Linked DNA regions of Drosophila melanogaster. The protein of the gene in region 1 purifies or fractionates together with the protein of each later gene. This does not show direct contact. Each region holds a gene or a part of one and is shown on either strand. Other genes may lie near its edges.

Region 1 (6,485 bases):
AATATACAAAATAATGATTAATAATGAATAGATTATTAATTAGTATGATTTTATACCATTTTTAAATGCAAATATGTAATTGTTAACTTTTCAATAGCAGATTAGATTTATGTTAGAAATTATTATTATTTTGTGTAGGGTATATCTGATGCTATATGTTATGTTTCAAAAAGGTTTCGATCATTAGTAATCATTTTTTTTTCTTAGTGCTGAAACTGTGACTCATTCACCTTTGTGAGTATTGGTAATAATCGTGCTGTATGTATTGGTGTGGATGCTGCATTATGCGAAGCCCAACCACTAAACGTCAACCACCGGCGTCGACACCCGACCCACATTTTATATAGTGGCTCATAATATTCCTTCTGCAGAAAGAGATTAACACCAAACGGCGACGGTGGCGTCGGTGGCAAAAAGTTTATAATCATCCTCGCTGACAGAGCGAAAGAGACGGGCGATTGGAAAGCATAGGCGGAGGCAGGGAGAGAGAGAGAGAGAGTGAGCGGAGAAAATCGGAAAATCGTTATGCGACTACTATAACCCACCACAAAATCGCGGTCGTCTCTGTTGTTGCCGGGCACCTCACACTCGCGCATCGATTCCGATTGCGATTCAGGATCTGAATTTTTTGCCTGGTTTGTGGTGCGTGCGATTTTTAAAAATGTTTAAATCCGCAATTTCTTTCTCCGTGCTCTGTGCTCTTCGTCCCCTTCGTACACCGGCGAACTTGTGATTTGTGGTTAATTTAAATTAATAATCTTTTAAGTGTGTCATGAATTAACTGCAAGTTAAATAAAGTGCTGCGTCGATTTTGCATATTTTATAATCCATTTCGTTGGGTTAATAATTGCCAAATTTATTATTTATATATATTGACGTATAATTTTAAAGTTTATTGTTTTCTGAAGTGCTGCGCTCCTAAATAAATTTAATGCCGCTAAAATTGTATTCGCCATGAAACATCATATTAAACCATCCCTTAAATTGGACTACTACACAGCGCCACCTATGAAAAGCTTTGATAAGCTTATATTCATCTTGTTAATCTGACTACCGCGTAATATTTTGGCTTTGAATTTCCGAAAGGCTTAACGATTATTTTGCTTTAATTAAATTTAAGGAATACCTGACAGACGTTTGCAATTTGTTAAACCATTTCGGGTTAAAACACAAAACAGATGCTCCACCTATAAAAAGCTTTGCTAACCTATTAAATACATAAAATTCCGACAGATGGCGCTACCGAACAGCTGAGCATACGAGTATTCACCCCTATTTTTTAGTTTTCTTATGCAACCCTGCATCATAATAACTTTGATTTGCAAGGACTACCCTAAAAGATTACACATCCCTTCAACCTTTTTTTCACAGCTGGAAAAGTCCCATAAAATACAAAAAAATGGATCCCTCGAATCTTGCTTTTGGTTTTCCCGGTCTCCCCAACCACGGACACATGCCAATACCTCCTACAGCCAATATGCTTGGTGGCCAGCATCCAGCACCCACCGCCAGCCCACCACAAAGCGTCCCCGGCCGTCGGACGCCACTTGGATCGGTTGGTCTGGGTGGTTTCTATGCCCAGGGAATGGGCATGTCCCAGCAGCCACCGACGGATGAGAACAAACCAGGGCCCAGTGCTCCGGAGAAGCCATTGAGTCCCACGGCCGCCGCCATCGCAGCCATTGCCATCAGTGGTGGCACCACCACGGTGGCCGTGTCCAGTGGTGGCGCCAGCGGAAGTGGCTCCAACAGTGGCAAGCAGAAAAACCGCCAGGGAAAGACGGTAAGGCTGAACATAAATGCCCGGGAACGACGAAGGATGCACGATTTGAATGATGCCCTTGATGAGCTGAGAAGTGTGATTCCCTATGCCCATTCGCCTTCTGTGCGAAAGCTGTCGAAAATAGCCACCTTGCTGCTGGCTAAGAACTACATTCTGATGCAGCAAAATGCTCTCGAGGAGTTGAGAAGGTAACGTAGTTCATTACCACGCTCAATAGGAATTATTAACATATATGCTTTTACTTTTAGACTTTTGGCCTATATACAAAGCACCACGGGAGCAGCGCCACTGGATTTGGGTGCATTTCCGGCGGCTGCCAAGTTGCAGGCTCTTCTTCAAGGACCTCACAACGAACCACCGACTAGCAGCAGTTAAATAGGAGTGGGGGCCACCATAAACTATGGTTCAACTGATAAGCAATCCATTAATGAGCAATACTTTTAAGTCAATTGGAAAGCAAATGCCAAATACTTGTGTACTAGTCAGACGAAAGGAGGTTGATAAGGAGCCTCTTATCAGAGCAGCCAAGTGAAAATCTGTTCAGTGATATTTATTTTTGTCATAAGCATTTCTTATTTATGCATTTACCCAATGTCAACCAATATGTGTAAGATGAATATTACCGAATAAAGTATTATTGAAGTAGAAAGTATGTCGTTGGAAAAGGGTTTGGTCATTTAGGTTTACCCATCAGCACTGATAGAAGCCTGTCATTTTTCAGAATCATCAAACAAACAAACAAAATAAGAGTTTCAAATACTCAAACACGCCCAACCCAACCAACCATTTATAGTCATCAGATAACAAACATCAAAGAGCACAATCAAATTTAAAATAATATAATCTTAGATCCGTTTCAAGTCTTGGCAAAAATATTTAACATATAAATATACATACATAGTTGTCTGTATGGTTTTTGATGATTAAGCAAAAGCCGTTTAGCGGAATTCGAAATAAGCGGATTACAACTAGAAAACTAGTCGATGAATACTCTAAAAATATATATATATATAGACATATACGACATGGAGGACGGCGGCGAAGGCGATCGGTGCAAAATCGGCTGGCATTATATTATTCCGGTATGCCCAGGGACAAAACCTTGTTTTTGCCAGTGCGAAAAATGTGCTGCTTGGTGGGCAGTTGACCGATCAAGAAATCCTTCATCATTTCGATGGCATCCCCCGAGTGTCCTGTGCCATGGAAGGCGATGGTGGCATCTCGCCCTGCGTGATCCATAATGACGTCGTCGCCGCCGGGATGATCCCTTAGAAAGTGTGTCACATCGTAGACCCTATCGTAGATTACCACCCAGCAATCGTCGAAGCTGTCGTGCTGGGCCACCTCCTCCAATGCGATCTCCGGCAGATCTTCCAGTTTTAAACGTTCCTTTTTGCTTGGTACAACGACCACCTGATTACTGGACTTTCCATGTCCCAAGGGCACAATTCTCAGCGATTGCAAGAGGTTCGTCAACGCGGATGACATGTTGTAAGTATGCAATTACTTTCACTTTTACTAATATTTGATACAACGATTTGTAATGCCGCCCGATCACTTCAGACAGCCGGCAATCGATTCAAGTTGAGTTCTGCTTGGTCGGCTTCAGTTCCAGTTTTACTTGGGGTCTTGAGTGTCTTTCGTGTGCAGCCACCGGTACTGGAGTGTCATTCATGCCTTGGATTGTAATCGTTTTATAAATGACAACACGTGAGTCGATCGATGGAGCCGACAGCATGGTGATAAGACTTCGTGTCCAGAGAAGCGAAGCTCTTATAGATCGGTTTCTATATAATATATAATTATATATATATATATACATATATGTATGTTCAACCGAACTGGTTTGCATCTACATATGTTCATGGGAGGGCTAGGCATTGCACTGAGATTGCGAGATTTTGCAATAATGTTTTGTGGTCACTCGTACTCATATGAGTCAATTTCCGAATATGCTCGTAAAGACGAGCATAAATTATATATTTCTCTGTTAATCGGATTGCTCAGTGAGCTAATTACTTGCTACCTTATAAATTTAATGGGCCAGCAATTATTAAAAGGGAGACATTTAACGCGCCTATCAGCATTACAATTGATTTATTGGCACAAGTCAAACGTGCATCGGGCGAATCAATTACGTCTACTCGAACCGTTTGATCGCCAGTCATTAAGGCAATCAAAATAAATTTTGGGTTAATAGCCTGGAGTTATTTACTTTTAATACTTAAATGCGTTTTAAGTTTGCCAAAAATCACGATTTGTGTCAAGCCACGTTTGTTCTAAATTCTAATGGGAACAGAGATAATGACTTCAATATTATCGCTCACTACAACTTTGAACTTGAAATTGGAATGGATTCGGAAATTATGCCACGCTTTTGAACTATTTGAACCATGGGAATGATTTTAATTTTACATGGAGTGAGTACGTTTAATCAATAATTATTACGAAACTAAAGATCTGATGAAATTATTCAGACTATTTAATTTCCCATTTATTAAATTCCAGACAGAACGCCATTCACTAATTCTGTACATTGTATTGTATAAATAGAAAATATTGCAAAGCTAAGGAAATAGTTCAAACTACGCAATATAAAACATAAATATTATTCAAGTAAAAACAACAAGAAATTATTTCTAAATAATAACTTTTAAGACGTCACGATTCAATTGTTATTGATCATTTATTATTTTCAATTGAGTTCAAGTTTGATGTGTGGTTTTAACAAGATTTGGTAATCTAATATGCTAGCATCTCAGTGTTAAGATCAGCATTATCACGTTAAGTAATTAACCGCAAAAATATTCAAAGTCGTAACTGAACGAGCTCTTTAAATGGGCTAAACCATTTGACTTTGACTTTGAGGTTTACATGAACTAGGTGTATCCATATTAAATATCTATTGATGGTTAGAAAAAGCCTGCGAATAGCATTGCTAATAAAAGGCAGAATATATTTCAGTTCTAAGAGGTTATCATTCTAAGTGTGCGTGATTGCGTACATTTTTGAAAAAAACGCGAATCTTTCTTCGACAAGAATATTTGAATAATTGCCTAGTGTTATCAGAGTAGTCTAGAAATATGTAGGGGAAGAGATTATAATTTAGTTCTGGCGATTTTTTGCAAAAATGTTAAGATAAGGCTGAATAAGTACTAAGTACTTTCAAAACCATTGTCAAGTCCACGGACGGAATTAAAAGTGACTATTCATTGGTCTTTTCTTGTATTTGTATTTAAAGTTTATTAGCTATATCACTTCTAAAATAAGAATAAATCAAAGTTCAACGAAGTCCGAATATTATAAGTTATATTTTCTTTTTTACCATAATCAAATTTTGGCAAAACAGGGAAAAGAAGCAATACAAATATTTAAATAGATAACGACAAGAATTGCAATTCATTATAAATAAATACAATAAATATTTAAAAAGTATTATATAAATAAATCAACAGTCAGGATTATATGCATGTTTCTTAAGTAAACACAATGATTCTGAAAATAATATTATATGAGTCGTACAAATTTATATATTTCTTTTCATATATAGAAATAGGTGGCAACGCCCAATGTAACGGAAATGCTAAAAAGCTTCTTGAAAACATAAGCTTTTGGGAAAGGTTAACCGATTCGGATTTCGCGGGCTTTTTTCTAAAATTGGCCAGCTGTTGCTCTTTGGGAAGCTTTTGTATAAAAAAAGGCTTTTCCTTCCGGTAGTTGGATTACTTTTTGGCTAAAACGGGTGGCCAATATTTAATTATTACTTCCTTATATTGGTATATTAAGTATGCAAATAAATTTTATTTCGAAAGACACTTTTTTAAACTAGGGATTTTAACGGACATTTCCGTCAGGGACTCGAAGTTTCCCATTTGCATTTGTGTGGTGTTTCCATCAGCCCATCTGTGTTTTGGGTGCGAAAGTGTGAGTGTGATGGAACATGACATCGGGTAACTGCGTGTAATTTTTGGTGAACAACAACACAGTCGAGTTTCAGCAACGCTCTGGCCAAGTTGTTAAGGCGCGTGAATAAAAAAAAAAGCGAAAATTCAACCGCTTCCAGTTATCTCTTTACTTGGCTAAATTTATTTGATGTAATTGACCAATGTGAGCAGGGGATTATTGAGTTAAAAATTAATAAAAGCCCGCTAATACGGAAATTGCTTCGAAAACTCGTTAACAACACGCACAATATGCATGCCACTGTGTAGAGCAAATTGCGCATACGCCACGTTGAACTGTCGTATTCGTATTCGTATTCGGGATTTCGTAAACATATTGTTGCGGTAAATTGCATGCAGCAATTTCAATAAGAAAATTGTTTGCACAGTTTTTGTTCGGCTTTGTGTCACCGATTTGCAAATATTTAAGGGGTAAGTGCTGACACAGCTGTTTGATCCATGTGAACTCAATTTGCATACAAATTCGATGTTATAATCTGCGAAAATAGTTAAGTCACGTTTCGAAAACAAGCCATTCAATATTTAATGGTTTTTACTTGCTTTGAAGTCAACTGAAATCTTCATTGAACAATGGTTTCGTCGAGCGAATGTAATACGAACTTGTTGAACCAGTAAATTGATTTTCTAGACCAAAAAGAAAGTGTAAGCTGGCAAACTTTTATTGTTAAAGTTTAGCGAATGTATTTTCCTTTGTAAATTGCCTTGTAAAAAGTTCTGTCCAAGGTTCTGAAGAAATACTT
Region 2 (7,068 bases), on another chromosome or scaffold:
TCGGACTTTTGGCTGAAAATCTCATTAAAATCGTATTCACTAATCTGAGATTAGTGGCGAGATTTTGAGATTATCATATGGCCGGGGTCTAGGACTTAGTCGTTATTAATAAAAACTTTATTATGATGCAAATATTTTATAGTTTTTTATTGAAAATCAATCTACTCAGGTGTCTATATGCTTATATTTTGTTTACTTGCTTACATAAGGCATTTTTAAGTTTCTTAACTACAATTGTCTTTAGAAGTTGTTAAAGAATGTCTAAATTTAAAGTGTTGCTCAACTTAAAGGTGTATAATGCGCAGATATTAATGAAATGTGAAAACTATAGTGCATCATCGTATTTCCGCAATACTTTCTAAAATTTTCCCGATATTTTGGTAGCCCCTCGAGCATTTGGTGCCCATTGTAGCACCGGTTGCTTGGAGCTGCAGCACGCCCATTGTCTTACGCTTTCGCCCATGTCTTTTGAAGCTACCCCCCTCCAGTTTCCCGCCCATGCCGTGTCGCGATTAACATTTCAATTTAATTTTATTAAATCATCAAAAGCGTTTAATGTCGATTGCAACAAAGGCCCGTCGCATTATGCAAGTGCAAATGTAACGAAAAGTCATTATGCGATCTATACATTTTTACATAAATAATAACAAATATGCGCATAATTGAAGGCGCCGCTGCAGATGTGCAGACGATGTGGGGTCCACTCCGCACCATTCCGATGGAGGTCAGTTCTCGGACGGATCAAATTATCCGGATCCAAAGCCAATGATCGAGGCGCGGCCAGTTTCAGTTCCAGTTCCAAGTTCTCCATTGTGCCCGGTGGCCAGTTGCCAATTACTCGATCGGATCGATTGGCAATCGGATCGGCGACGGACTGTTCTCCAATTGAGACCATAAATTTCATTTAGACCACTTTGCATTGACGCTCGAATTACGCAGTTTTCTGTGGTGCGTGGCCCGACCTTGAGCGATTAGCCTATCCACCATTCAGTGGCGCACTGCATCGGTAGCCCGGTGGGTGACCCACGCAGGTGGGGCTTGTTCTGTTCTAAGGTCGAACCACTCACGGGCGGTGAGCGACACAAGTGCACTACATGTCCCAAAATTAACATGGAATTCATGTGTTGCCAGTGTCAAAGTCTAAGCCGCCACTGAATAATGGCACTTTGGTTCTAATAACAGCGATTATCATTCAATGATTTAGAATTAAACGCAATCTTGGCAATTAAAATCGAATTAAATAGCTTTAGTATGCTTTACTTTTTATTAAGCGTAAAAAATTCACAAGCAAGTTATTGCCTATTAGTTGAATAATATTATTCAAATATAACTCTTTAGTTCTTGAAGGAAACCGATTTATTTGAAAATTATATATTCAAAAAATATGTAACATAAGATATTTTCAATTATTTAGCTACAAATATAGTAATTGTCTTTGAATCCTACTAATGTTCAATGGTTGTAATATATTTCGATATAATATTCAAGCAATAGCTTTAAACAGAAATCAGCTTCCGTTTTAAAACTCAAGAATCAGAGTAATTTTCTTCCAAATTTTCATTTCCCGTAAAAGAATACTCCATTAACTTTCCATTTGCATAGCTTCGGTTCGTTTATTGCAATCTCGTTTCTCATTCTGCGAGTTCTACTCGAGTGCACAGGCTCGGATTAAATAAGAATTGAAACGGGGATTGTGAGTTGGGGATTATAGAGTATTTATCGCGGTCAAACAGCCTTAAGATTAAGAAGACAAGAAACATAAATGAAAGGTCTCGAGAATGTGTGAGTGTAGATGAGGGAACATTGGATCCGTAACTCAAGGACTGGGCAATCGGAATCCGCTGTCCGTGAATTCGTATGTACATATTTCGATAAATCGCTTTCATTTCCACTAATACTACAACTACTATCGACTATGATCGGCCCATGAGCTCCGGCTAACTGGAGCCCAGGTGGCAGGAGAAGTTGGTCGCGATGTGTCCATTATTCGGTTGCGGCAAGAGGTCGGCATTATTCGAGTGGTGTATATCCATCCATCTGACTTAGTGGTAGCCCAGGGGCGAGAGGGCGGGCAGGGCCAGCTTGGGCAGAGCAGGTCCATAGGCGGGAGCCAGAGCCGGTCCGTATCCGTGGGCCAGAGCCGGGTAAGCGGGCGCCAGAGCCGGACCATAGGCGGGCACCTTGGCCACCAGAGGAGAGGCATGGAGCAGCGGAGCCGGGGCCAGAACCTTGGCCACCGGAGCCACAGCCTTCACCACAGCTCCCTCGCGGCGCACCACTGCGTTGAATCCGTGCACGGGATCGGCGGTGTACTCCACAATGCGGCGGGTTCCGTCGGCCTCAATCAGTGAATAGGCGCCCTGCACCACATCTCCGCTGCGGGTCTCCTGCTGGCTCTTCACGTCACCAGTGGAGCCATCCTGGTGGGCAGAAGGAAGTTGTTGGATTAGCAAAGGATAGGAATAGGTACTTTATATTTAAAGAAATGCCTTGAAACGAATCCTTTGCATCTTATATCCTAAGGATTTCAAGGAAACTATAAATATTTTATATCCAACATCCAACTTGCTCAACCAAGTGGTCGGATTTAATAGTTCTAAGCTTCCATAAACACTTCATAAAAATGTCTGGCAAAATCAAAATTTGCATACCAGTTGCTCAATAAAGCAATAAAATTCGAATGCAGATTTCTGAATTGGCATTGCTTTTTATGAGGTGACTAATAACTTCTTACGAAGCTGACTCACATGAACATCGTAGCTGAAGGTGTATTGGGGATTGGGATCGTATGGCTCCGGACCCGCCACCTTGGCCACCAGAGGAGCAGCCACCTTGGCCAGCGCCGGGTACGATGGATAGGCGGGCAGTGCCAGTCCGGGACCAGGGACCACAACGGCGGAGGACACCGCCACCAGGGCGCTCAGGACGAGGATCAGTTTCTGTGCCATTCTGGACGGATTGCTTGGTGTTTGCGATGGAGTAGTGGAGAACTGGAGGTCTACTGCTGCTCGACTGACAAATGAACTCGATCTGTGGTTCTGTGGCCGCACGACAATTGCTTTTTATAGGCCTCACATAGACGCGAGCCCAAAAATCCGCCACAGCCTCCGCCGCCGCCTGCCACCAGATATTTATGCAAAAAGCGCAGCAAGACACAAAAAATAATAATAAACAACTAAAAAGTGAGCATGCGTGTGGAGTCTGTAGCGGCCTGTGCCTATGCGAAATGCTCGCATCGATCGCGACAAATATAAAATAATTCATTTTTCGCTGCCCATGGCAATCAGAAGGGGCTGTCCGGAGGTGGAGGAGCTGCCGGTCGAGCTGAAGGCGCTGGAGGTGCTTGGCGGTTCACGCATGTCTGGGAGTCTGGGAGGACTGTGCTGGACCAAAGCAAACTGGTCCCACGCCGGCTGAATCGCCGTCGTTGTTGTCGTGACAAAAAAGTTCAATTCGAAAGCGAATTATTTGGGCCTAAGCCGGGTGGCCGGACGGATCAGGTGTGGTGGACGCATGAGCACCAGTGCCTCCCATGTCTCCATGTCTCGACTTTATGGCCACCAGATTGGGGCGACGCTGCACACGCACCCAGCAGTCGATTGTTGAAAGGTGTGTTTGGGGCACAGCCTTCGAAACTGGCTGGCTGCTCTAAGCCGCGCCCACCCAAAAAATCTACGCCAGACGCATTCAATGCACTGCGAGAAAACGAAAAAGTTCTAACCGCAATGAATGTGATATGTGATATTAAAATCTCTACGAAAAAAGTACTTGGATAACATATACAATACAAAAGGATATCAATTGTAGAATATTCTGTTCAATCCTATAGATTTTCGAATGTCATGCAGTATTTTTTTGAGTGTATAGATTTGGTTCTGTTTCGCTGCTCTGTTGCCATTGGGACAATTTTGGCCATTATCACTAATTTTCAACGCGTACCGCCGCTTGTTAGGCGTTGCTGCAGTTGCAGTTGCAGTAACTGCTGCAGTTGCAGTCGGCGCCGGCAGCAACATCTATGGACATGCTCGGGTTGGGGTTTGCGTAATCCAAAAATTGCATCTCGTGCCGATTTTTTACTTTCAATTAAGCTATTGAATAATTTGAGTGCGTGTTGGGCCAGCGAGAGTGAATGTATTCATTTGGAGTGGAAGAGTTCTTTGGGCGTGGGACAGCTGGAGGGGAGATAACCATCTAAGATTGCGGTCTTATGTAAGTGGAATGGGTCAGCTTTCTTTGGCGAATTGGGCTTTTCCTGGTTACATTTTGTTACATTTAAAATTACAAAACCACTTTTACATGGCATGGAGTCACGAAAATGTTCACCAAGTAATTAGTTCCATTAAGCACATAACCATTTCCATTTCTTGACACCCGCAATTATGATGTAATTGAAAAAGTTAACACACTGCTAAGTTTCAAGTTCAAAACGACGATATTTGCATCATAATTAACACGCAAATTTTGATCTTGAAAAAATGTCCATTGAATATCTTGTTATTTTGCACTACTTTTAAGTGTGTTTTTAATTTAGTTCATTATCATTAACTAGGCAAGTATGCATTTTGGGCCTTGAGCTTGTCTAATCAACTGACTAATTAATAAAAATGTATAGGTGTAAATTTAAACTCGTTTCGGAATTTTAGTAGAGCTTTTGATTAATTTTAGTTAATCAACGCCTTGAGAAGCGAATACTTGCGGATTTTCCTTGAATATGATTGAAGGATTTCATGTATTTCTTTGGCTTATTGAGTTTATTGTTTAATGATTACTGACTTTACAACGGACTAAGGAGCAGACAATAAGTTATGTAAAAGCTAGGTTACAAGCAGTGTTAAAGGCTCTGAAAGATTGTGGAGTTAGCCCAAGATTGGAGCAGCCACTGGAGCCACCAATGGGCGAGCAGCCACCGGAACTGGTCCTCGCTGCACCACCGCATTGAAACCGTTGATGGGATCGGCGGTGTAGAAGACGGTGCGCAGTGAACCATCGGCATCGACCACCGAGTAGGAGCCCTTGACCACATCTCCATCCCGCACCTCCTGCTGGCTCTTGCTGTCCCCGGTAAGGGCATCCTGCACATTATAGGCGAACGCGTACTGCGGATGTGGATCCACCTCCGTGTTGAGGGGCACTCCCACTGGAACAGCAGCTGGGAGCAGGGCGCACTCGATGGCGGCGATCAGAGCGCAGCAGATGAGGGTGATCTGTGGGTTAAGTAAGGTGCATTGATTGATTTATGATCAAGATATACACTTGTGCAGATCCTAGTAGTATGTTCAATCACATTCCTTGACCAGGATTCCCTCAACTCACCTTGATCAGGGCCATGACTAGATTTGCTGGTGGATAGTGGTTTTCCAATGGTGCTTTGTGCTTGACAATGCTGTCGGAACTGTCTTGGATTGCCATTGGATCGGGGTTATAAAGGGCCTCCACATTTCCGCGATAACATGCGCCGTGTGGCAACCGCTGCCAAAAACGATTCCATTTGCTGACGTAATGGCCCGTTTTTGTGCCTGGTCCACCTGCAAAAAGTTTCCCCCATGGACGTGCCATCCAATGGCCCAACTTGCACAATTCTCCCCTCCATTGAAGCCCCACCAATATGAATTGTGATAACCGTAAATATAGTTGGCACTACGTGATCGGAATCTAAGATTGGGAGCTTTAACTCGAAGCTCGGGACCTACCCCAATGTTTAACTGGGTTAAGCAGGGGAATGTGGAGCATTCCTAGAAATATTTCAACTTTTCGAATATCACTTCCAACCGATCAGTTCCATCGAACAACTAATAACAATTCATTCAATCTTTTTTTTTGTACCGAAACTTTTATTCAGTAAATGCAGTTACTAATTCACTAAGTGGCCGATAGCCGTTCCCCAGATCCCCAGAACGGTATCCCTAAACGTAGTCTATGGTGGCGATCCTTCGATCGGAGATTGGGAATGTGGGTCAACAGCGGGGTGGCAACAGCACGCACGTCCTTGTGTTTCGGGTTTTGACTGACAGAAAAGTGGGTAAATGCATTAGAACTATTTAACAACGGTCCTACAACTAGGCCATGGAGTTTGTCATCGCTTGGTCCACCGGTTCATCGCCTAGTGGTATCCACCCAGACTCAGACCAGGCGCCGAAGCGTATCCAATCTTGGTGATGGCGGGAACGGCGGCGACGGCAAGAGCTGGCTTGGCAATGGCCACCGCGGCCACGCCCTTCTTCTCCACGACCGCATTGAATCCGTTGACCTTGTCGGCGGTGTAGGTGACCTTGCGAATAGTGCCATCGGGTTCGGCCAGGGAGTAGCTGCCGTGGACGACTCCGTTGACCAGGGTCTCCTCCTGCTGCTTGGAGTCACCGGTGTGATGATCGGTTACTCCGTACGAGAAGCTGTACTGCGGATTGGGATCGTAGGGCTCGGCAACAGCCACCTTGGCCACAGCGACGGGGGCAGCCAGGACCTTGGGAGCATAGGAGATGGCAGGAGCGGCATACGAGATGGCAGGAGCCGCCAGGAGTTTGGGAGCAGCATAGGAAATGGCAGGAGCAGCAAGCAACTTGGGAGCCGCATAGGTGAGTCCAGGGGCCGAAAGTCCATAGGGATCAATGGGAATGGCCACAACGGCGGACAGGATCAGTCCCAAAACGAACAGAGTCTGGCGAGGAATTCCATGATCAGTTGAGCCAACTAAAAGCTGCACTCCTTTGGCCAACTCACCTGGGCAATCATGGCGAAGGATGTGAGAATGAGGGAGCTCTGGTTTGGATGTGTCTGCACTGCGAGAACTCAGCTCAAATGTGAGATGCATTTTCCGCGTGGTCTTCAGTTTTATATTCGAAACTGGCGGCAGCTGCCAGCGGAAAAAAAAACTGGACAATCTAATGGGCAGAGTGACAATTGCGTCTCATTTGGTGGCTGCCCGATCTCGATCTCGATCTTGCACCCCAGACCTCATCGCTGATGGCGGATTTCGTGTTTCTGGTGCGGATTTCATCATTGGTGCTGGCTTTTCTCAATGGAATAACTGCAGCCGCCGCTGCCGAGGCACACCACTCACCGAAGTCCATT

What was found. The genes of interacting proteins can lie anywhere in the genome.
Region 2: the proteins of CG6870 (region 1) and Cpr64Aa purify together in Drosophila melanogaster (affinity purification with mass spectrometry, with the first as the bait; one large-scale study listed by BioGRID). This does not show direct contact.

The regions. Positions count from the first base shown.
Region 1 is NT_033779.5:17,588,841-17,595,325, forward strand, and holds CG6870 (uncharacterized protein), read right to left. Parts: upstream 3,460-6,485; 5' UTR 3,272-3,459; coding exon 2,858-3,271; 3' UTR 2,475-2,857; downstream 1-2,474. Other genes in the region: Oli (olig family), read left to right, coding at 1,400-1,971, 2,032-2,158; Sytalpha (synaptotagmin alpha), read left to right, coding at 3,484-3,493.
Region 2 is NT_037436.4:4,206,145-4,213,212, forward strand, and holds Cpr64Aa (cuticular protein 64Aa), read right to left. Parts: upstream 3,035-7,068; 5' UTR 2,949-3,034; coding exon 2,748-2,948; intron 2,421-2,747; coding exon 2,043-2,420; 3' UTR 1,694-2,042; downstream 1-1,693. Other genes in the region: Cpr64Ab (cuticular protein 64Ab), read right to left, coding at 4,857-5,204, 5,314-5,328; Cpr64Ac (cuticular protein 64Ac), read right to left, coding at 6,101-6,655, 6,718-6,729.